2 linked regions of the Lonchura striata genome follow. The protein of the gene in region 2 purifies or fractionates together with the protein of the main gene of each other region. This does not show direct contact. Links are inferred from orthologs where the notes say so. Each region holds a gene or a part of one and is shown on either strand. Other genes may lie near its edges.

Region 1 (11,692 bases), on a different chromosome or scaffold from region 2:
AATTGGGAATGGGGAATTGGGGAATGGGAATTGGGGAATTGGGAATGGGGAATTGGGGAATGGGAATTGGGGATTCGGGAGCAGCGGCACCTGCGGCACCGCCTGCAGAGCCCCGCGGCCCTGGAATGATCCGGGAATCCCGGAATTAGTCGGGAATTTGGGAATGGGAACGGGAATTTGGGAATTGGGGAATGGGGAATGGGAATTGGGGAAAGGGAATGGGGAAAGGCAAAGGGAATTGGGGATTCGGGAGCAGCGGCAGCTGCAGCTCCGCCTGCAGAGCCCCGCGGGCTTGGAATTATTAGGGAATTCCGGAATTAGTCGGGAATTTGGGAATGGCAATGGGAATTTGGGAATGGGAATTTGGGAATGGGAAAAGGGGAATGGGAAAGGGAATTGGGGAGAACAGCGGCAGCTGCGGCACCGCCTGCAGAGCCCCGCGGCCCTGGAATTATTCGGGAATTAGTCGGGAATTAGTCGGGAATTTGGGAATGGGAATGGGAATTGGGGAATGGCAAAGGGAATTGGGGAATTCAGGAGCAGCGGCAGCTGCGGCTCCGCCTGCAGGGCCCCGCGGCCCTGGAATGATCCGGGAATTCCGGAATTAGTCGGGAATTGGGGAATGGGAATTGGGGAATGGGGAATGGGGAATGGCAAAGGGAATTGGGAATGGGAATTGGGAATTTGGGAATGGCAAAGGGAATTCGGGAATTTGGGAATGGGAATTTGGGAATGGCAAAGGGAATTTGGGAATTCTGGAATTCGGGATTTGGGGAATTTGGGAATTCAGGATATGGGAATTTGAGAATTTGGGAATTCAGGGGATTGGGGAATTCAGGAATTGGGGATTTTGGGAATTCAGGAATTGGGGATTTTGGGAATTGGGGAATTCAGGAATTGGGGATTTTGGGATTTCAGGAATTGGGGATTTTGGGATTTCAGGAATTGGGGATTTCGGGATTTGGGAATTGGGGTATTTTGGGAATTGGGGATTTTGGGAATTGGGGATTTCGGGATTTGGGGAATTCGGGAATCGGGGCCCGGGCCCGGCTCCCACCTTCTGCAGCCGGGCGGCCGCCCCGGCCAGCAGCAGCAGCGGCGACTCGGCCATCTGCGCGTTCTTCACGGCCGTCACCGCGTTGGTGACCCCGGGACCCGCCGTCACCACCGCCACGCCGATGCGGCCTGCGGGGACAGCGCTGGCACCCAGGGGACACCCGGGGGGCACCCAGGGGACACCCAGGGGGCTCCAAGGTGGCCCCAAGGTGGCACCAAGGTGGCACCAAGATGGCGTCATGGTGGCACCAAGGTGATGTCAAGATGGCGCCAAGATGGCTGCATGGTGGCGCCAAGGTGGCTTCAAAATGGCGCCAAGGTGGCACCAAGATGGCGTCAATATGGCGCCAAGGTGGCACCAAGATGGCGTCAATATGGCACCAAGGTGATGTCAAGATGGCGCCAAGACGGCTGCATGGTGGCGCCAAGGTGGCTTCAAAATGGCGCCAAGGTGGCACCAAGATGGCGTCAATATGGCTTCAAGATGGTGCCAAGGTGGCACCAATATGGCACCATGATGGCTCCAAGATGTCTCCAATATGGCGCCAAGGTGGCGCCAAGATGGCGTCAATATGGCACCAAGATGGCTTCAAAATGGCGCCAAGGTGGCACCAAGATGGCGTCAATATGGCACCAAGATGGCCCCAAGGTGACATCATGGGGGCACCAAGATGATGTCAAGATGGCGCCAAGACGGCTGCATGGTGGCGCCAAGGTGGCTTCAAAATGGCGCCAAGGTGGCACCAAGATGGCGTCAATATGGCTTCAAGATGGTGCCAAGGTGGCACCAATATGGCATCATGATGGCTCCAAGATGTCTCCAATATGGCGCCAAGGTGGCGCCGAGATGGCGTCAATATGGCACCAAGATGGCCCCAAGGTGACATCATGGTGGCACCAAGGTGATGTCAAGATGGCGCCAAGACGGCTGCATGGCGGCGCCAAGGTGGCTTCAAAATGGCGCCAAGGTGGCACCAAGATGGCGTCAATATGGCACCAAGATGGCCCCAAGGTGACATAATGGTGGCACCAAGATGGCGTCAATATGGCACCAAGGTGATGTCAAGATGGCGCCAAGACGGCTGCATGGTGGCGCCAAGGTGGCTTCAAAATGGCGCCAAGGTGGCCCCAAGGTGACATCATGGTGGCACCAAGATGATGTCAAGATGGCGCCAAGACGGCTGCATGGTGGCGCCAAGGTGGCTTCAAAATGGCACCAAGGTGGCACCAAGATGGCGTCAATATGGCTTCAAGATGGTGCCAAGGTGGCACCAATATGGCATCATGATGGCTCCAAGATGTCTCCAATATGGCGCCAAGGTGGCACCAAGATGGCGTCAATATGGCACCAAGATGGCCCCAAGGTGACATCATGGGGGCACCAAGATGATGTCAAGATGGCGCCAAGATGGCTGCATGGTGGCACCAAGGTGGCTTCAAAATGGCGCCAAGGTGGCCCCAAGGTGACATCATGGTGGCACCAAGATGACGTCAAGATGGCGCCAAGACAGCTGCATGGTGGCGCCAAGGTGGCTTCAAAATGGCGCCAAGGTGGCACCAAGATGGCGTCAATATGGCACCAAGATGGCCCCAAGGTGACATAATGGTGGCACCAAGATGATGTCAAGATGGCGCCAAGACGGCTGCATGGTGGCGCCAAGGTGGCTTCAAAATGGCGCCAAGGTGGCACCAAGATGGCGTCAATATGGCTTCAAGATGGTGCCAAGGTGGCACCAAGACGGCTGCATGGTGGCGCCAAGGTGGCTTCAAAATGGCACCAAGGTGGCACCAAGATGGCGTCAATATGGCTTCAAGATGGTGCCAAGGTGGCACCAATATGGCATCATGATGGCTCCAAGATGTCTCCAATATGGCGCCAAGGTGGCACCAAGATGGGGTCAATATGGCACCAAGATGGCCCCAAGGTGACATCATGGTGGCACCAAGATGACGTCAAGATGGCGCCAAGACGGCTGCATGGTGGCACCAAGGTGGCTTCAAAATGGCGCCAAGGTGGCACCAAGATGGCGTCAATATGGCACCAAGATGGCACCAAGGTGACATCATGGTGGCACCAAGATGATGTCAAGATGGCGCCAAGATGGCAGCATGATGGCACCAAGATGGCACCAAGGTAGCTCCAAGGTGGCACTAATGTGGCACCCAGATGGCTCCATGGTGGCACCAAGGTGGCACCAAGGTGGCTTCAAGATGGCACCAAGATGGCACCATGATGGCACCAAGGTGTCACCAAGATGGCACCAAAGTGGCTCCAAGATGACATCATGGGGGCATCAAAATGGCGCCAGGATGGCACCAAGATGGGGTGAAGATGGCGCCAATATGGCTTCAAGATGGCGCCAAGATGGCTCCAAGGTGGATCCAAGGTGGCACCAAGATGGCGTCAAAATGGCACCTAGATGGCTCCAAGGTAGCTCCAAGGTGTCACCAAGATGGCATCATGATGGCACCAAGGTGGCACCATGATGGCACCAAGGTATCACCAAGATGGCACCAAAGTGGCTCCAACATCATGGTGGCGCCAAAATGGCACCAACATGGCACCAAGATGCCTTCAAGGTGGCACCAAGATGATGTCAAGATGGCGCCAAGATGGCTGCATGGTGGCACCAAGATGGCTTCAAAATGGCACCAAGATGGCTTCAAGATGGCGCCAAGATGACATCATGGTGGCACCAAAATGGCGCCAACATGGCACCAACATGGTACCAAGATGGCTCCAAGGTGGCACCAAGATGGTGCCAAGGTGGCGCCAAGATGGCTTCAAGAGGGCGCCAAGTTGACATCATGGTGGCACCAAAATGGCGCCAACGTGGCACCAAGATGGCACCGAGATGGTACCAAGATGCCTCCAAGGTGTCTCCAAGGTGGCACCAAGGTGACATCATGGTGGCACCAAGATGATGTCAAGATGGCACTAAGATGGCTGCATGGTGGCACCAAGATGGCGTCAAGATGGCACCAAGGTGGCACCAAGATGGCGCCAAGATGGCGCCAAGATGGCTTCAAGATGGCGCCAAGATGACATCATGGTGGCACCAAAATGGCGCCAACATGGCATCAATATGGCTTCAAGATGGTGCCAAGATGGCGCATAGGTGGCTCCAAGGTGGCACCGAGGGGACACTGAGGGGACATCAGGGTGGCACCAAGGTGGCTCCATGGTGGCACCAAGATGTCACCAAGATGGTGCCAAGATGGCACCATGATGGCTCCAAGACGGCTCCAAGATGGCGCCAAGGTGGCTCCAAGGTGACATCATGGTGGTACCAATATGACTCCAAGGTGGCACCAAGATGACATCAAGGTGGTACCAAGGTGGCTCCAAGGTCACATCAAGGTGGCACCAAGGTGGCTCCATGATGGCACCAAGATGGCACCAAGATGGTGGCGAGATGACATCATGGAAGCACCAAGATGGCTCCAAGGTGGCCAAAGGATGGATTTGATCCAGGAGGGGACAAATGGGGACAAATCCCACCCTGCCACAGCCCTGAAGCTTCTCAGGACCCACCCAGGTGGGACACCCAAACCCTCTGGAGATGTCAGCCATGGGGCCACCTCCATCCCTTGGGGACAGATGGGGACAAATCCCACCCTGGACATCCCAAGATCCTGGAACCCTCTCAGGTCAACCAAGACCCACCCAGGTGGGCCTCCAAAACCCCCTGGAGATGTCGGCCATGGGGCCACCTCCATCCCTTGGGGACAGATGGGGACAAAGGGGGACGAATCCCACCCTGGACATCCCAAAACCCGCTCAGGTCACCCAAGGTCCACCAAGGTGGGACACCCAAAACCCTCTGGAGATGTCAGCCATGGGGCCACCTCCACCCCTTGGGGACAGCTGGGGACAAACCCCCCCGAGATGCCACCAGAGCTGACCCGAGAGGCGTGAGACGGCGTCGGCGGCGAAGACGGCGGTGGCCTCGTGGCGCGTGTCCACCACGCGGATGCCGATCTTCTCGCAGGCCACCAGCACGGGCGAGATGTGGCCACCGGGCAGCGTGAAGATGAACTGGACGCCGTGGGCCCGCAGGACCTCGGCCACCAGCTCGCCACCGTGACGGGGACTCGTCGTGTCCACCTGGGCCACCACGGGGCCACCAGGAGGTCAGAGGTGACAGCGGTGTCACCTATCCCTGATGTTCTCCATCCCACTGGTGCAACCTGTCCTTGATGTTCTCCATCCCACCTGTCCCCAATGTTCTCCATCCCCACCGGTGACACCTGTTCCTGATGTTCTCCATCCCTGGTGACACCTGTCCCTGATGTTCTCCATCCCACCCATCCTTGATGTTCTCCATCCCACCTGTACTTCATGTTCTCCACCCCACCTGTCCTTCATGTTCTCCATGCCTGGTGTCACCTGTCCCAATGTTCTCCATGCCTGGTGTCACCTGTCCCAGTGTTCTCCATCCCACCTGTCCCAGATGTTCTCCATCCCACTGGTGTCACCTGTCCTTGATGTTCTCCATCCAACCTGTCCCAGTGTTCTCCATCCCACCTGTCCCAGATGTTCTCCATCCCACCGGTGTCACCTGTCCTTGATGTTCTCCATCCAACCTGTCCCAGTGTTCTCCATGCCACCTGTCCCAATGTTCTCCACCCCACCAGTGTCCCCAATGTCCCCCTGATGTCCCCAATGTCCCCAGGTGTCCCCAGACCTTGTGGAAGATGCGGTAGAACATCCCGAGCCTCTGGGCCACCACCAGCAGGGTTAGGGCCACCAGGGCCACCAGGGCCACCAGCCCGGCCACCAAGTCCATGGCAGGAGCTGCAAGAGAACAAGGCCACCAGGAGAACCTTGGGGACACCACAGGGACCTCCAGGGCCACCATGGGAACCTTGGGGACACCGTAGAGACCTCCAGGGCCATCAGGAACTCCTTGGGGCCACCGTGAGAACTTTGGGGCCACCGCGGAGACCTCCAGGGCCATCAGAACTCCTTGGGGCCACCATGGGAACCTTGGGGCCACCAGGAGAACCTTGGGGCCACCGGGAGAACCTTGGGGCCACCATGGGGACCTTGGGGCCACCATGGGGACCTTGGGGACACCATGGGGACCTTGGGGCCACCAGGAGAACCTTGGGGCCACCATGAGGACCTTGGGGCCACCATGAGGACCTTGGGGCCACCATGGGGACCTTGGGGACACCAGGAGAACCTTGGGGCCACCATGGGAACCTTGGGGACACCATGGGGACCTTGGGGACACCAGGAGAACCTTGGGGACACCAGGAGAACCTTGGGGACACCATGGGAACCTTGGGGCCACCATGGGGACCTTGGGGACACCAGGAGAACCTTGGGGCCACCAGGAGAACCTTGGGGCCACCATGGGGACCTTGGGGCCACCAGGAGAACCTTGGGGCCACCATGGGGACCTTGGGGACACCAGGAGAACCTTGGGGACACCAGGAGAACCTTGAGGACACCAGGAGAACTTTGGGGCCACCAGGAAGGACAAGGAATGAATTGAACCCATGTAATTAATTAGGCCGGGTTAATTAACTCTGGATTAATGAACCTCTGGGTTAACTGAACCCAGTTTAATTAATTAGATTGGGTTAATTAAACTCTGGATTAATTAAATTCAAGATTAATGAAACTCTGGGTTACTCAAATTCCAAATAATGAAACTCTGGCTTAATTGAACCCAATTTAATTAATCAGACAGGATTAATTAAACTCTGGATTAATGAAACCTTGGGTTAACTGAATCCAGTTTAATTAATTAGATTGGATTAATTAAACTCTGGATTAACTGAACTCTGGATAAATGGAACCCAATTTAATTAATTAGACTGGATTAATTAAGATCGGGATTAATTAAACTCTGGATTATTTGAACCCTATTTAATTAATTAGACTGGATTAATTAAGATCGGGATTAATTAAACTCTGGATTATTTGAACCCTATTTAATTAATTAGACTGGATTTATTAAACTCTGAATTAATTAAACTCTGGATTAATTGAACTCTGGATTAACAGAACACAGTTTAATTAATTAGACTGGATTAATTAAAATCTGAATTAATTAAACTCTGGATAAATTGAGCCCATCTTAATTAATCAGAGTGAATTAATTAAGCTCAGGATTAATTAAGATCAGGATTAATTAAACCCCGCATTAATTAAACCCAGTCTAACCAGTCCCGGCTCCTCCAGGTTCCCACACCCCGCCCACACAATTTGCATAATCAGATGCTCATTTGCATACATATGCATAAGGACGCTGCTCATTTGCATAATGACAGAGCCCCAATTACCCCTAACGAGGCCCCGCCCCCCCCGAAGATCCAAAATTTGGGGCAAAATCCCCAAATTGTGGCTGAAAATCCCAAAATTTGGGGCAAAAATTCCAAATTTGGGGCAAAAATTCCAAATTTGGGGCAAAAATCCAAAATTTGGGGCAAAAATCCAAAATTCGGGGGAAAATTCCTGAAATTTTGGGCAAAAATCCCCAAATTTGGGGCAGAAATTTCCCAACATTTTGAGCAAAAAAATCCCCAAATTTGGGGCAAAACTCCAAAATTTGGGGTAAAAATTCTGAAGTTTGGGGCAAAAATCCCAATTTTGGGGCAAAATTGCCAAAGTTTGGGGTAAAAATGCCCAAAGTTGGGATGAAAATTCCAATTTTGGGGCAAAAAAATCCCAAATTTGGTGTAAAAATTCCCAAATTGGGGAAAAAATCCCAAATTTGGGTTAAAAATTCCCAAATTTGGGGTAAAAATCCCAATTTTGGGACAAAAATCCCAAAATTTAGGGCAGAAATTTCCGAATTTTCAGCCTAAATCCTAAAATGTGGGGCAAAAATCCCAAATTTGGGGTAAAATTTCCCAAATTTGGGGCAAAAACTTGAATTTTGGATGGAAATCCCAATTTTGGGGCAAGAATCTCCAAATTTGGGGCAAAAATCCCAAAATTTGAGGTAAAATCCCCCAAATTTGGGGGACAAATCCCAAATTTGGGGCCATTTTTGGCTGAAAATGTCAAAATTTTGGGCAAAAATTCCAAAATTTGGGGGCAAAAATCAGCCCCGTCCCCAAGGCCACCCCTGAGGTGTCCCCAAACCCCCAAAAATGTCCCCAAATTGTCCCAAACTCCCCAAAATTATCCCAAATCCCCCCAAAATTGCCCCAAATCTCCCCAAAAGTGTCCAAAAATTGTCCCAAAATTGCCCCAAATCTCCCAAAATTGGCCCAACCCCCAAAATTGTCTCAAATCCCCCAAAATTGTCCCAAAATTGTCCCCAAATCCCCCCAAATGTCCCCAAATCCCCCCAAATTGTCCCAAATCCCCAAAAGTGTCCAAAAATTGCCCCAAAATTGTCCCAAATCCCCCCAAAATTGTCCCAACCCCCCCAAATTGTCCAAAAATTGTCCTCAAATTGTCCCAAATCCCCCCAAAATTGTCCCAAAATTGTCCCAAATCCCCCCAAAATTGCCCCAAAATTGTCCCAAATCCCCCCAAAACTGTCCATAAATTGTCCCCAAATCCCCCCAAAATTGTCCCAAGCCCCCCAGAATTGCCCCAAAATTGTCCCAAACTCCCCCCAAATGTCCCCAACCCCCCGCAGGTGTCCCCAAATGTCTCCAAACCCCCAAAATTGTCCCAAAATTGTCCCAAATCCCCCAAAATTGTCCCCAAATCTCCTCCCCCCCCCCCCCCCGCCTCCCCTCACCTGCCGCACCCGGAAGTGCTCGCTTCCGGGTTGCGTGGTGACGTCACGGGCGTGCGCCGCCAGGCGGGGCGGGGATTGGTGGGCGGGGAAAGGGGCGTGGCTAAAGGGAAAGGGCGGGAAAGGGGCGGGGCCAGGGGACCCGGATTTTGGGGGGATTTTGGGGGTTTTTGGGTCCACTTTTGGGGGGATTTTTGGGATTTTTGGGATCCCATTTTTTGGGGTCCCATTTTTGGGGATTTTGGGGAGATTTGGGGGGTTTTGGGGTCCATTTTTGGGGAGATTTCGGGGTTTTTTTGGGGTCCCATTTTTGGGGGATTTTGGGATTTTTGGGGTCCCATTTTTGGGGATTTTGGGGAGATTTGGGGGGTTTTGGGGTCCATTTTTGGGGAGATTTCGGGGTTTTTTTGGGGTCCCATTTTTGGGGGATTTTGGGATTTTTGGGGTCCCATTTTTGGGGATTTTGGGGAGATTTGGGGGGTTTTGGGGTCCATTTTTGGGGAGATTTCGGGGTTTTTTTGGGGTCCCATTTTTGGGGGATTTTGGGGTTTTTTGGGGTCCCATTTTTGGGGATTTTGGGGAGATTTGGGGGGTTTTGGGGTCCATTTTTGGGGAGATTTCGGGGTTTTTTTGGGGTCCCATTTTTGGGGGATTTTGGGATTTTTGGGGTCCCATTTTTGGGGGGGTTTTGGGGTTTTTTGAGGTCCATTTTTGGAGTCTTTTTATGGGGGGTTTTGGTGTCCATTTTGGGGGGGATTTTGGAGTTTTTTGGGGTCCATTTTTTGGGGGTCCCATTTTTGGGGGTTTTGGAGTCTTTGGAGTCCATTTTTGGGGAGATTTTGGGGGTTTTGGGGGTCCATTTTTGGGGGGATTTTGGGGGTTTTGGGGGTCCATTTTGGGGGGGATTTTGGGGTTTTTTGGGGTCCATTTTGGGGGTTCCATTTTGGGGGGCTTTGGGGTCCATTTTTGGGGGATTTTGGGGTTTTTTGGGGGGATTTTGGAGTTTTTTGAGGTCCATCTTTTGGGGTCCCATTTTTGGGGGTTTTGGGGTTTTTTGGGGTCCCATTTTTGGGGGGATTTTTGGGCTTTTTGGGGTCCCATTTTTGGGAATTTTGAGGTCCATTTTTGGGGGGATTTTAGAGTTTTGGGGGTCCCAATTTTGGGTTTTTTTGGGTTCCCATTTTTGGGGGGCTTGGGAGTATTTGGGGGTTCTCATTTTGGGGGATTTGGGTTTTTTAGGGGTCCCCATTTTGGAGGGGTTTGGGGTTTTTTTTGGGGCCCATTTTGGGATTTTGGGGGGGTCCCTTCTTGGGGATTTTGGTTTCTTTGGGGGTCCCATTTTAGGGGATTTGGTGTTTTTTGGGGGGGGCTTTGGGGTTTTTTTGGGTCCCATTTTGGGGTTTTTTGGGGTCTTATTTTGGATTTTTTTGGGGGTCCCATTTTGGGAATTTTGGGATTTTTTAGGTCCTTTTTGGGGAGGTCCCTTTTTGTGGGGTTTGGGGTTTTTGGGGTCCCATTTTGGATATTTTGGGGGTCCCATTTTGGTTTTTTTTTTGTTTTTGGGGGTCCAATTCTGTGGGGTTTGGGTTTTTTGGGGTCTCATTGGGGTTCTTTTGGGGGGGTCCCATTTTGGGTTTTTTTGGGGTCCCATTTTGGGTTTTTTTTGCCGTTCCCATTTTGGGGATTTTGGGGTTTTTTTTTGCGGTCTCTTTTTTTGGGGGCGGGTTTGTGCTTTTTTTGGGATTCCCTTTTTTGGGAGGGACACTTGGGGACACTTCCCATCCGTGACGTCACGGCCGGGAGGGTCCCCAAAATCCCAAAAATCCCAAAATTCCCAAAATCCCTCCCCGGTGTCCCCCCGCCCCCGGTGTCACCTTGTCGCCACCCCGGTGCCACCCCCGGAGTGTCCCCAACCCCCCCGGTGTCCCCTCCCTATTTTTGGGGGGTTTTGGGGTTTTTTGGGTCCCATTTTGGGGTTTTTTGGGTCCCATTTTGGGGTTTTTTTGGGGTTTTTTTGGTCCCTTTTCGGGTTTTTTTTGGGGTTTTTTTTTGTGGGATCCCATTTTGGGGGGAGGTTGGGTTTTTTTGGGGGTTTGGGGTTTTTTGGGGGTCCCATTTTGGGGTTTTTTGAGGTTTTTTTGGGTCCCATTTTGGAGTTTTTTGGGTCCCATTTTGGGGTTTTTTGGGGGTCCCATTTTGGGGATTTTTGGGGTTTTTTTGGGGGTCCCATTTTGGGGTTTTTTTGGGGTCCCATTTGGGGGGGGTTGGAGTTTTTTGCGGGTCCCATTTTGGGGGGGTTTTGGGGTTTTTTTGGGAGGTTTGGAGTTTTTTGGGGGTTCCATTTTGGAAGGTTTGTGGGGGTTTTTTGGGGTCCCATTCTGGGGGGTTTGGGGAGTTTTTTGGGTCCCATTTTGGGGTTTTGGAGTTTTTTGGGGTTCCATTCTGGGGTTTTGGGGTTTTTTGGGTCCCATTTTGGGGTATTTTTGTGGGATCCCATTTTTGGGGGGGGGGGGTTAGGGTTTTTTGGGTCCCATTTTGGGGGGTTTTGGGGTTTTTTTTGGGGTTCCATTTTGGGAGGTTTGTGGGTTATTTTGGAGGTATTTGGGTCCCCTCCCCGCTGTCCCCGGTCATTTCCCCGATGTCACCGCTGTCCCCTCCCCGTTGTCCCTTCCGTGATGTCACCGTGTCCCCTTCCCGATGTCCCCTCCCCGTGTCCCCGGTCCTTTCCCTGATGTCACCGTGTCCCCTCCCCGTGTCCCCTCCCCGCTGTCCCCGCTGTCCCCGGTCCTTTCCCTGATGTCACCGCTGTCCCCTCCCCGCTGTCCCCATGTCCCCATCCCGATCCTTTCCCCGCTGTCCCCTCCCCGATGTCGCTGTCCCCTCCCGTGTCCCCTCCCGTGTCCCCTCCCCGTGTCCCCGGTCCTTTC
Region 2 (11,882 bases):
GTTCTCCACCTCCCAGATGAACACTGCCACTGGCAAGCTGGAGTCCTGGCAGAGACGCAGAATGCTGTCTACACGGCTGCTGCTCCACAGGTAGCTGCCCCAGCATCATTTCCCCCACTGCTGGGGAACAGCACGCAGGATGCAGCGGGAACAAGAGCACTGGCGGTAACAACTCGCTCTTGGCGTCTGCTGCCGAGCTGAGCGGCAGGAGCAGAGGAATCTGGGAGGCAGGCAAGACAAAATTCCAAAGAGAGGCAGCCCCGGGCTGGCAACCAGCATGCCGGGCAGCAGAGAGACGCAAGGCGGCCTTTAGGGCTCAGCCAGGTGTCTCATCGCTCATCTCCTCGGCAGGCTGATACAGGCTCACGTGCTGCACCGGGGTAAGAGGAAGGTCAGACGTGTCAGCAGCACAGCTGCCACCCTCGCCTGGGGCTGCCAGCCGGCACGGGCAGCGCTGAGCCATCCCTTGCTGCAATCCCGAGCTCCCGCACGGCTGTGGGGCTTCCCCTGCCCGGACCACTGCAGAGCACAGCCGTGGGGAAACGCCGGCAAAGCCTGGGGAAACGCAGCTCTGCCCTCGGGGATGCCCTCACCGCCTTACCTTATAGTCATGGGGGATGACGGGAGAGACCTGCCGGCAGGTGAGCACCACCTGCTGCCCCGGCAGCTCGTAGACCAGCCAGGCGCGGGGGTACAGGGCATGGTAAAAGGCGTAGTGGCCGCAGTAGCCCCAGTTCCAGCCCTGCAGGCTGCTGGGTCTCTCCATGGACAAGACCTGCTGGTAAATGGTTTGCCCCTTGCACCGCAGGCACACTGTGAACTGTGGAGGAGAAGAGGAGCATGTGCAGGGGATGAGATGAGCCCTGTGGCAGATGTCTCAGCTGCCCAGGCTGCTGCAGTGACTCTCACCCCCCCTCACTGACCCTACCTGATTGGCGATGACTGTATCATAGTTGTAAAGGCCAGGGTTCAGCTGCCAGCGGCAGAACTCTCCCCGCCAGCCGCGGGTGATGGTGCCTCCCCCGATCCCGCCCAGCGGGCACCCTGGCAAAGACACCAATAGTTAGCACCCCCATTCCTCCCCCAGGTGGTACCTGGCTAAAGAACTCTCCCCATGCATCTCTGCAGGGGAGAGCCACTCAGTATCCCCCAAATCAGAAAAGCTTCTTGACTCACTCATTCCATGGAGCACCCCGATATCCCCATGTGAATCCCTGCCCACCCCAGTGCCCAGTGTGGAGGCTGACCATAGATCTGCTGCAGAGGAACTGCACACAAGAGGTCAATGAAGGCTGTTTTCTTCTCTATGCAGGTCTTCTTGACCCACCACCTGAAGTATCTGCAAGGGAAAGAGAAATATTGAAGAAGTCAGGAACAGGCAACACCGTCCCTCCAGTGTCACTGGGCAGGATGAGCATAGGTTGAGCTTTCCCTCCTTGTAGAGATGTACAACAGGAACATATGTCCCCGTGCCCATGGCACAAGGGGTGACAAGGCTCTACCACCCATCTGGAGCATGCATCACTCAGCAAACACAAGCAGGCTAAGTTCAGGCAGCTAAGGACTGACAGCAAGGGCAACTCAGGAGCAGGACTCCCAGCTCATGTAGCACAGGCTTTCCCAGACACTCATGGAGAAGTGGGAATGCACACAAGGGCCACCACCACCTCTGTGCCTGGTACACAGTGTCCTGCTAAGGCAGACCTGCAAGCAGAGGTGCAAACCCAGAGGAGACACACACTGCTCCAGAGACACAAGCCTTGCTGTTCTACCTGCACTTCCCCATTGCCATACATTACCACATCCCTGTGCCACATCATCGGGAGCAGAGGGCACAGGGCAGCCTTACCCTGGAAGTGGTGATGGTTGCTGTCTGCAGCTGGCAGGATCCTGGGGACTTGCCTCCACCTGCACACCAGCTGCGCAGACCAGCACGGCCCATCAGACAATTTCTCACCTAAAGGTCTGGGAATCAAGACACCCAAACAGGGGCACACCTGCAACAGGGTATGCCAGCACCACTCCAGGCAAGAGGAGCAGGGATGGGCTCTGAGTCAATGCTTGTAAAGTACTGGCTTTGGCTAATTAACTGCCCCAAGTTAAGCCTTCTATACAGAGACAATTAGCACACGGAAACCAGCTACCAGACCAGAAGCTGCTGAACCTTGCCCAGCAAACAGTCAGGTAAGGCCCAGCTGGCAGCTCCATGGCCCTGGGTGCCAGGTGGACAGGGGGGACACAGGAGCACCCACAGTGAGCAATGTCCCTGAGCTACCTCCAGACACCCATGCCATATTGCTGAGCAGAAAACCAGGAGCACACAGCCTGTCCTGCCCCTGGTTGCACAGGATGCAGAGCACAGGTGATGGGCAATGAGCAATAATCCCCTGGGACATGTACACCCAGGAGCAAGGGGGAGAGGCTCTTCTATGACACCTCTACTACTATGCTTCCCAAACAGAAACAAGTCACAGTTGACTTTTCGGCTGCTCACTGGGCATTCACCTTTATTCACCAACATCTAAGGTCCCCAAATCCCTCAGAGGGTGAGATTTTCTGGGCTGCAATCCCACAGGACCTAACTGCAGCCTGCTCTCCACTCCTACAGACTCAGCTTTGTGTTTGACTGTCTGTGGATGCTTTGCTCACAGTTCACGGCATGATGAGAACCAGCCTGTCCTGCTTGACTGCCCTGAACCAGGGCCTGCCACTATCTTCCAGCTATATCTGCTACAACTGCTCTTCTCCAGACAGGACAGTCCCAGCCTTACCCTGCCAAGGCAAGGTTTTGGCAGTGCTCTCTCTCTCTCAAGGAAATTATTAATATTCTTTTTCAACCCAGCAGCAGGGAACCAACGCAGCTGCTTCCCCAGCAGGCTTCTGGCATCAGGAAATAAGGTGCTCAGGCAGAATGACTGCAGCACAGCCTAGCGGGGCATCCTGACTTCTTGGAAAGGAGGCAGGAGATGGATTTCAAGAAGCAGTTTTTATAGAGAACACAGTAGAAAAACTTTGAGATTTATTGCCACTGCCAAAGTAATTTTACCATCTCAATATGCAAACTCTTCTCATGCAAGTTTCTCCCAAAATCACGCAAGCCAAGAGAAGAAGCCCAGTTCCCAATTGCTGGGTATTAACAGCTCTGCCAGGGCTGAAGAATAACAAGGAGAAAGACTTTGTGCTCTGTAGTACCAAAAGCCCTGCCAGGGCTGGAGGGCATTTCTTCCCCTTCAAATTGGCAGTGGAGTTAAAACAACATTACCCAGCTGATCTGGATTCATGCTGTGACCCCTCTCAGGACACATGAGCCACCTCTGCAGAAACCTACCTACACCTCTTCTCCTGCCTTGCCAGCCCCAGCTGAGCCCTCTGCACAGCCCTTTCTTTCCAGATGCACATGTCCCCCATAGTTACCCCGATGAGCCCTGATTAACAAAAAATCTTGCCCCAGGGGCTGTCAACACCCCCAGCCATGTCACCTACACCTACGGCTGTTGCTGCAGAAGAAGGCACCATCATCATGTTTAATTTGAGGCAACAACATCAACTCACAATGTTGTGGCTCCTCTGCTAGTCCTGGACCTCCTGAGCCAAAGATGTGCAGTGACCCCAAGGCGCTCCCAGTGGCTACAAGCACCTGCACCATATGATTTTGCACTACATGCATCAAGATGTGCCAAGTTTTGGGAACATCCCTGGCACAGGGACCACTCACCAGAGGTCACTACGGACCGGGCAGGCCAATCTACAGAGCTTCACAGATCCCTGCACCATGACACAGAACTGAATTCTGGGTTCCTCTCACAGCAACTGCATTCATGTTTCCATGAGTTGGCTGCCCCAGTCACACAGATACCGAGATGCCCACTGACGCCTGGAGCATGCAGCCTCGCATATATTCTCACATACCTGAATGGGCTGCCCTTTGAGCCAATAATGTTGGCCTTGGGTTTTTAATCAAAAGCACACAGATATTTCTTGTGACCCTAGCACTTTGTCTCCTCTGCTCTTGTGACTGGAACCTCCTCGCAAACAAGTTCTTGCCATGGCAAAAGTACTTTGAGACAACAACCAAATTATCTCCTAAACTTGAACAGGAGAAGAGGCAGTATTTTAACTTCAAGCTTGCTTTCAAAGACCTTTTCTGACTGATACAAGGCACTTCCAGACTTCAATGAGAAGGCTAGGATCACCTCTCCTCCCTGCTCACCCCACCAGAACTTCACGCTTTCCAACATGCTCAGCTCATCCCAACCTGCTGCAGCAGCTTTTCCAGCAGCCTTTATTTATCTCAGGTGTGTGACCCATGCTCTCCCTTCCCCAATGCCCAGGCTCGCACTGGGGTGTCTCAGGTCAGACCAGCATGCACCCCGAAGCAATCCAGAACCTGCCCTTTCATCCAGCTTTGCAGGAACCAGCTTGGCAAGCGGCAGCCTCCAAGGACACCAACAGAAAATGGAGGCAGGAGTCATAAATCCAGCACAAGGAAATAAGCAATGCCGTCGCCGGTCCCAGCGCACACACTGCCAGCGCCCGGACTCCAGTGGTAAAGGTTAAAACAACACTCTCGCTTTCCACGCGTGCTCTCCGTCGTTACTTCCAGCTCACCCCAACGCAAAGCCGAGAGAGGTGCCCCGTTCCCAAACCTGCCACAGCGTTCCAAACCCCTCCCAGTTAGCCTTAAGGTTAACCTCCAGCTGCCAGCACTGAGGATTATGCCGGGTAGGATGAGGCAGCGATGAGCCCTAGGGGTGGAAAATGAGGGTCCCCATCCCCAAGCGATGCCCCAAGTCCTCCCCTGTTTTGAGGAGCCCAAGCGCCTGGTGCTGCCACTTCAGCACCAATTTCTCGCAGTGCCGGCGCCAGGAAGGCTGGAGAGTGCCGGCGCCTCCGGGCGGTAGGAGGGCGGCTCCCGCCAGCCCGGGGCCTTCCGCGATCCGCCGGGCTCTGCCGCTCCGTACACCGGGACATCTCCGGAGCGTCCCCGGGGCGAGGCCTCCGCGGAACCGAGTGGCTCCAGCGCAACGCTGTGTCCCCCGCGGGACGCCCTCCCTCGTCCCGGTGCGTTCCCGGCCCCCTCCATCCCCCGCCGTACCTCAAGGCGAGGCCGACGTGCCGCAGGACATCGCGGAGCGGCACGTCCCCGGCGCCGTAGGGCTGCCGCAGCTCCTCGAAGCTGTGCGCCAGGCAGACGCGCCAGCCGTCCGCCGCCACGCCGCGACCCTGCGCTGCCCCCTCATAGCGCCGCATCAGCGGCGACTCCACGGTCTCCGCCGCCGCCGCCATCACCGCCCCCCGCCCCGTGCGCGCCCTCTTCTTCACCGCCCCGCCCCGCCCCGCCCCGCCCGCGCCCCCGGGGCACGGCGGAAGCACGGACCCGCCCCACCGCCGATTCCCGGGACTGCCCGGCCGAGCGCGGCCGAGCGCCGCCGAGCAGATTCCGAGAGTAGCCGAGCGCTGATCGAGCGCTGCTGAGGGGCGTGCGAGAGTTGCCGAGCGTTGTCCGGGAGCTGCCCGTGAGAAGACCGAGCGCGCCCGAGTGTTGCCGAGAGTTCCCGAGCGCTGCCCGAGCCTTGCCGAACTAGGTCCGAGCCTTGCCGAACTAGGCCCGAGTCTTGCCGAACTCTGCCCGAGCGCTGCCGATTCCCGCCGAGCGGCTGAGGGGAGCCGGGCCTGCAGTGGTGCCGGACGGCGAGCGCGGCCTGTGCGGGTGGTGAGTGGGCCCGAGGCGGGAGCTGCGGAAAGTTTGCGGCCCTGTGTCCCTGATCCCTCGGGTGGAGCTATCCATGTGCGTGTTTACGTTAGGGACTGCAGGGCTGGGGTGTCAGGGCTGTCCTTCTCACCGTCGCGGTGTTTCCTGACCCCGCTTCCTTACCTGTATGGACCTGGGAGGAAGATGTATGTGTTTGTAAAGACGGGGCTGTGCGTGTTTCCCCCCACACCTCCTGTGTGTGTATCAGTGTTCCTCATTCCCCCTCAATTACGTGGTCCAGCCCTCTCTCCATGTCTCCGTGACAGCAAAACGGGGAATGGCTTTAAACTGAAAAAGGACTACATTTAGATTAAATATTAAGAAGAAATTCTTTACTGTGAGGGTGGTGAGGCACTGGCACAGGCTCCCCAGAGAAACTGTGGTTCCTTTATCCCTGGAAATGTGCCAGGCAGGATGGGGTCCTAAGCAATCTGCTCTGGTGGGAGGTGTCCCTGCCTCATGGCAGGGGAGCTGGAACAAGGTGGTCTTTAAAGGCTCTTCCACCCCAAACCGTTCTGTGATTCCTCGAATCTATGATTCTGTGATTACATGCCCAATGTTGGCTATTTTTGGCAGGTGTGCAGCAGGATTGTCCAAGCCATGATCGAAGTGTTGGCCAAGCTGGGCCGCGGGCCTGTGTTCCTGGCAGGGGAGGTGCTGGAGTGTGTGATCACCTTCACCAACCCATTATCGGCCTCATCGACCTCTGCTAGCAGGTACAGGAGCCTGTGCTAGTCCATGCACAGAGCCTCCAAATGTTGAGCTGCCTGGGTCTCTCCAGAGGAAGTGGCCCACCCTCTCTCCCCTCTCTGGGGTAGTAGTCATGGCTGCATTGTAGGGCAATGGTGCCAGCTCAGCCTCTTGTGACTTCCCTACTCAAGGCACTCCCTTAAGGAAGCCTTGCATCATCTCTCAATTTTGGGGGTGAAGCTGAGGTAGTTATGCTAGTTTTGTGCCTCCAGTAAGTAGGCAAGGAAGGAGGTATGCAGTTAGAGATTCTCTGTCACTCAGGTGAGCCCTCAGTGACAGTGACTAGCAGAAAAGGAAGCCAACCTGACTGCCAAAGTGGGCTATTTGGTCACACCAGAGGGACAATCCCACAGAGCAACATCCAGGCAATGTTATTTTCTCTTGCATTTGTGGAAGGACCTCTCTTTTATCTAGCAGTGCTGGACAGATCAGTATGATCCTTGCCTCCAGAGATGGCAGACAAATGGTCAGGTCTGAAAGGGGCACCTTCTGCGGCCACATTTTCTGTGGCCTAGCCCTTGAGCCCTGCATCTCGCCTTCTCAGTGCTGAGGAAATTGAGAGCATGGGAGCTTCCCATATTGGCTCACAGGGGGTGACTCTATGTCACAAGTAATCACCCAAAGCCTTCATGTCCGCTGAGTGTGTGGCCTTGTCTGATTCTTTAGGGAGTGGAGAGTGCTTTCTCATCTTGAGTCCTTCCTGGGAAGTGTCTGTTTCCAGCCCTGTCAGGTTCAGCATGTTTTCATCACCAGTATGATGTTCACATGTGATTGTTTTGGTGGGCGCACTCACAGTGCCTGCAGTCTCAGCAGCACAGGGCTTCTGTGTTTATTGCCTTCCTTAACTTTCCATCTTTTCTTCCTGTTTCATTTTGACTGCTGAGATCAGGTTTCAAATTCAGCTGTGGCATAAGCATCCAGCTTCACAGACTTTTGTCCTGTTTGATGACAAGATGCCCTGTGTTTTGTCTGCTTCTGAAACATGTTGGACTGCAAGGGTACCAGGTGGTTTGCGGAGGTTTCAGTGCATTTATGAGAGCTTCATTTAAAACTTCAGATGTGTTGTGATCTGTAGAAGACTGCCTCTTGGAAAAGAAAAGTTTTCAAAATACTAAAAAAGCACCAAGTGATCAATCAGATGAGACCTGGCTAAGTCAAACAAGTGGCAACAGCAAATAAATTGTTGGTTTGGAAAATGAACCTGTGGGTTGTGTAAAGGCAGGAGCCAGATCAAAGCACTGTGACTGCAACAGGCAAAGGTGTTGGGGCTGACACGTGGAGGGACAGAGAGGCCACATAACCTGGACAGACTTGAAAGAAAGGCAGGAAATTAATTTGATGGTAGAGTACACAAAACAAATCTCTTTTACCCAGAGGTTGCACAGAGTATGTCCCTTGTAGGCTACAGGAGTTGTGGGGGAAGGTGAGACTGGAAGGAAGTGACCTCAGCACCAGTGCAGGATCCTCCACTGCTGAACAAGCACTAGCTGAGCAAGCCAGCTCTGCTGGCAGGAAGGGACATGCAAATTTTGTTGGGACATCTGGCTAGAAAAAATGAAAACAATCCAGTGGCATGTTGTAAGGCTATACTAAAAAAAATAGAAAAAAAACCTCAAAATATGGTGTTTGAAGGTACTGTAATCACTCTAAGCTTATATAAAATTCACAAGCATTGTCTCAAGCAAGAGCAGTTCTCTGCTTCCAAACAGCAGGTACCTTACACCAAAAAAACATATGGCAACCCTGATGGAAAAGCCATGCTGGTACTTTGGAAAATGCAGAATTACAACTGTAGGGCTCAAAGCAACTTGGTATAGTAACTGAGGTGTGTTTGGGTAAGGGCAGCCAGCACATGCAAAAGATCAAATAGCACATTCCTTAGCCAGCTAACATAAATACAGCACACCTTTTTCCCTAGCTCATCTAGACCTTTAACTACGCTGATGTGTCACGTGGAGGGACACGCGTGTGCCACAAAAAATCCCTCTGCCACCTAAAGCTCTGTTATTGGTGCTTACTAATCATATCATCATGTTAGAAAACACCAGAGGAACTATTCACTGGCTAAACTATAAAGACCACTATTGAAATAAAAGTAGAGGAGTGATTTGGAAACTGAAAGGTATCACTGGTACCATGGGAAGTGCCCTATGGAATGGCTGACGTCACAGCAGAGTCCAAAACATGAGACTGTTTTTTGTGCTGGATGTGTGACCCCACATTAATTCCTAGGGCTGTACAGAGAGGGGTCAAAATTACACCTTTGCCTCCCGTATTGCCGTCAGCAAAGTCCTTGCATAAGGAGGAGTAAGTAGGTCCTAATGAAAGACTCAGCAGCATCCTCCTTTGGTTTGGCACAAACAGCAGCTGATGTTCTTGTTGGGGATGGTGCTGTGAGGCCAGAGGGAGCATGTCTGTAGCCACCTGTCCTGAGAAGTGTTGCGTTTGGGGCTCCTCTGTGCTGTGGGCAGGGGTGGCTGAACCCAGGTTGCAGGAATTTGTTGCTTTAGAATTTGCTCACTTCCCTAATGGCTGTGTTGTTACCAGAGTGCTGCTCTGTGTGTCACCTCTGGCTTGGGATTTAACTCCTCATGGCTAAGAGTCTTCTGCTAGGGCCCACATACAGCAGCTCATGCTGTCCTCCCAAGAGTGCAGTAAGTGGCCAGTCCCAGTCTGTGGATGATGAGAAAGATGAACAAATGAGTAACTGGATCTTGGAACACTTGATCTCAGCATATTGGCTGAAAGATCCCTGTGAAGTTTTGCACAAGCCTCCTTGTCTCTTGCCCTCATGGCAGGGGATAGGAACTGCTGACCTCTGCTGCCTGTTGTCCTCTGTCATGAGTGTACAGCATGTTTCTTGGGGCAGATGTGTTTTCTCTTGCCATGTCAGGGCTGTGCCAATGGTGTTGTGGCTCAGGCTGCAATTATTGCTGTTTAAAAAGAGTCCTTAGGCTGCAGAGCCAGGCTTTGGGTAAAGCTGTTGTCAGCAGCTGGGGTGGAAGTGGCTTTGAGTCAGCATCCCAGTTTGAGCTTACTTCCAGGTCTTGCTTGGAGGGGACTGTGAGAACAGCTTCAGTGACAGTGAAGCCACTCTCACAGTCTTGTTCCTTCCAGACAAGAAGTCCTGCATAGATCTGAGCCGACACAGTTTCTCTTCTCCCAGTTCCTGCCTGCTGTAATTCAGGTTTAAAGCAGAGATATGAGTGTTGCTCTTTGCTTTCAGTGAGATGCTGGCATGGGCCAGCGCCCAGATCCATTGCCAGTTTCATGCCAGTGAGAACCGGGTGGCACTCCCTCCCTCTGACGGCAGCAAGCATGATGTGCAGGCAGAGAATGAGACCGTCTTTGTCCCCAACAGAGGTGAGTGCCACTCCTGCCTGTCACCTGGGTAGGGACAGTGAGAGCACAGTGAGCAGGAGTCAAGCAGACCATAATGTGTGTGTCTTGATGCAGTGAGCATAGAAGTGAGTGCAAAGTTTGTGTTGCTTTCCTGGTGATGGATGTTGTGGGACCTTGTTAATACTGAAATCACAGTGACAGTATCTTGGATTGAAGCATGACAGCTGTTTGTCCAGTTGCAGTGGCAATGTCTCAGAATATGACCAGGGCAAGAGATGCTTCCTCCTTAGCTCTCTTCTCTCTGTTCCTCTCCATGGGGATGGCTTGACTGACCTGGACACAGCCTGAGGCTGTGCAGCATTCACATATTTTTTATTCTCTTCCAGGAGAGCGGGGTCAGTGTATCCTGTCCACCCCACCAAAGATCCTCTTCTGTGACTTGCGACTGGATCCTGGGGAGTCGAAGTCCTGTGAGTCCTGTCTTCTCTTCCCCTTCTCACAGAGCTCATACCTGGGGAGCTCTGCTTACAAAACTGGCTTTGCAGACCTGAGTGCTGGAAGTGTACCATCCTGATGCTCACAAAAACTGGGGTGCTTTGGTTGGAGCACGAGTGCTGAGGAGCTGCTGCATCATCCAGAGTCTGTTCTCTGCTGCACTAGGGCTGTGTATTGCAGCATGTCCCTCAGTCCTGCTCCTGGCCTGTGGCCTTTGCTGCAGGTCCACTGTGTAGCTGCATGGCACAAAACTTTTGAAATACCTAGTTGCAGCAGGAGAAATGGCTACACACCTGCATTTCCTTGCCTTTATTTCTTCAGTCATACTGGTGTATTCTTGGAATTTAAGCTGGTGTCCTCCAAAGGTTTATGCCTCTTCTTCAGGTTGTGGCTGTCCTGGAAATAACAGTCTTCTGGATGTTCTAATTTTCCTACTGTGAAAGTGAGCACTCCTCACCTTCTCTCTCAAAGCTCTTCACTGAGTAGATAGCTGTGGAAACAGCTGCGTATGCGCTGTTCTCTCTTGGTTTGTGGCTGTGTGACCCAGCCTGTTCAGATCATGTCAGATCTCCTTTGCATTTCAGCGGCCTGTGATTAGCAGCAGTGATGTTAGGCCTCTCAGGCTGTGCATGGAGAGCTTTATTATTGTCCCAGGGATCTGCTGGGAACAGCTGATGGAGAACTCTAACACTGCAGAGCACAGGGAGTGGAGAGACAGTGCCTATGGTGGGGCAGGCTCTGCTGGATCACTGAGCTCTGCAGAGCTGGAAGTGAAGCTGCAAGTGAGACCAAGCAGCTGTGGGGTTGTGACATGCTGGTTGTGAAGCTGGTGTCTCCTGCCTTTCTGGCTTTTGAGGGGCCTGACTGGAGGGAAAGGTGGACCTGGTGAAACCAGGCTGGCTTGCCTTGGTGGTTAGTGGGGTGGGGCAGTGCCATCTTGGGGCTGTGCTCCTAAACTGCAGAGCCTGCTGTCTGAAGATGTTTAGTTATTCACTTATTATTCTGCAGCAGTATGCTGGGGGAAGGAGGTGGCCATGACAGGAGGAAGGAGGAGGAGACAGAAATCTTAGCTGGCCTGAGGCTCTCTTGGATTCTCCTGTGTTCCTTGCTACTTGCATGTTTGGGGCTGGAGCATCTCTTCCCTGTGAGCAGAGTGAAGTCCCTTTCCCTGGCACACTTCAGGCAGATTGGGCAATTTCTGGGATAAGATTAGTGATGACAGCCCACGTTCCAGATGGCTGGATGGATTGAGGGATTGACTGTGCACTGGCTTAACAGGCAGAAGCTGTTCAACCCCCAGCTAAGGTAGGGCTTGTCTACGCTTTCCAGTAACATCATGATGTGTGTGTGTCCTCTCTGCCTCTGGATGGCACTGGCACAAGCAGCATGCATCTGCCTGGTGCTTGGATACAGCTCCTCTGGAACAATACAAACTCTTCTATTCTTTGAGTTGCTTTGGCTGTATGGTCCAGCCTTTCCCCTTCACTGTGTGATTCACCTGTCTATTTCAGGCATCACATATGATGTGGCTGCATGTGGCACT

Evidence for each region.
Region 1: the proteins of non-lysosomal glucosylceramidase (region 2) and HACL2 purify together in Homo sapiens (co-immunoprecipitation; 3 studies listed by BioGRID and IntAct, counting the BioPlex papers as one, with this or other methods). This does not show direct contact. The link is inferred for Lonchura striata from reciprocal best matches to the Homo sapiens genes GBA2 and HACL2.

Annotation. Positions count from the first base shown.
Region 1 is NC_134623.1:2,075,791-2,087,482, forward strand, and holds the start of HACL2 (2-hydroxyacyl-CoA lyase 2), read right to left. Parts: upstream 5,932-11,692; 5' UTR 5,919-5,931; coding exon 5,745-5,918; intron 5,165-5,744; coding exon 4,963-5,164; intron 1,186-4,962; coding exon 1,058-1,185; intron 1-1,057. UniProt on the Homo sapiens protein: Endoplasmic reticulum 2-OH acyl-CoA lyase involved in the cleavage (C1 removal) reaction in the fatty acid alpha-oxydation in a thiamine pyrophosphate (TPP)-dependent manner. Involved in the phytosphingosine degradation pathway.
Region 2 is NC_134642.1:39,646,955-39,658,836, forward strand, and holds the start of non-lysosomal glucosylceramidase, read right to left. Parts: upstream 5,310-11,882; 5' UTR 5,287-5,309; coding exon 5,096-5,286; intron 1,340-5,095; coding exon 1,248-1,339; intron 1,045-1,247; coding exon 929-1,044; intron 821-928; coding exon 602-820; intron 46-601; coding exon 1-45. Other genes in the region: RGP1 (RAB6A-GEF complex partner protein 2), read left to right, coding at 6,302-6,468, 9,729-9,865, 10,231-10,314. UniProt on the Homo sapiens protein: Non-lysosomal glucosylceramidase that catalyzes the hydrolysis of glucosylceramides/GlcCers (such as beta-D-glucosyl-(1<->1')-N-acylsphing-4-enine) to free glucose and ceramides (such as N-acylsphing-4-enine).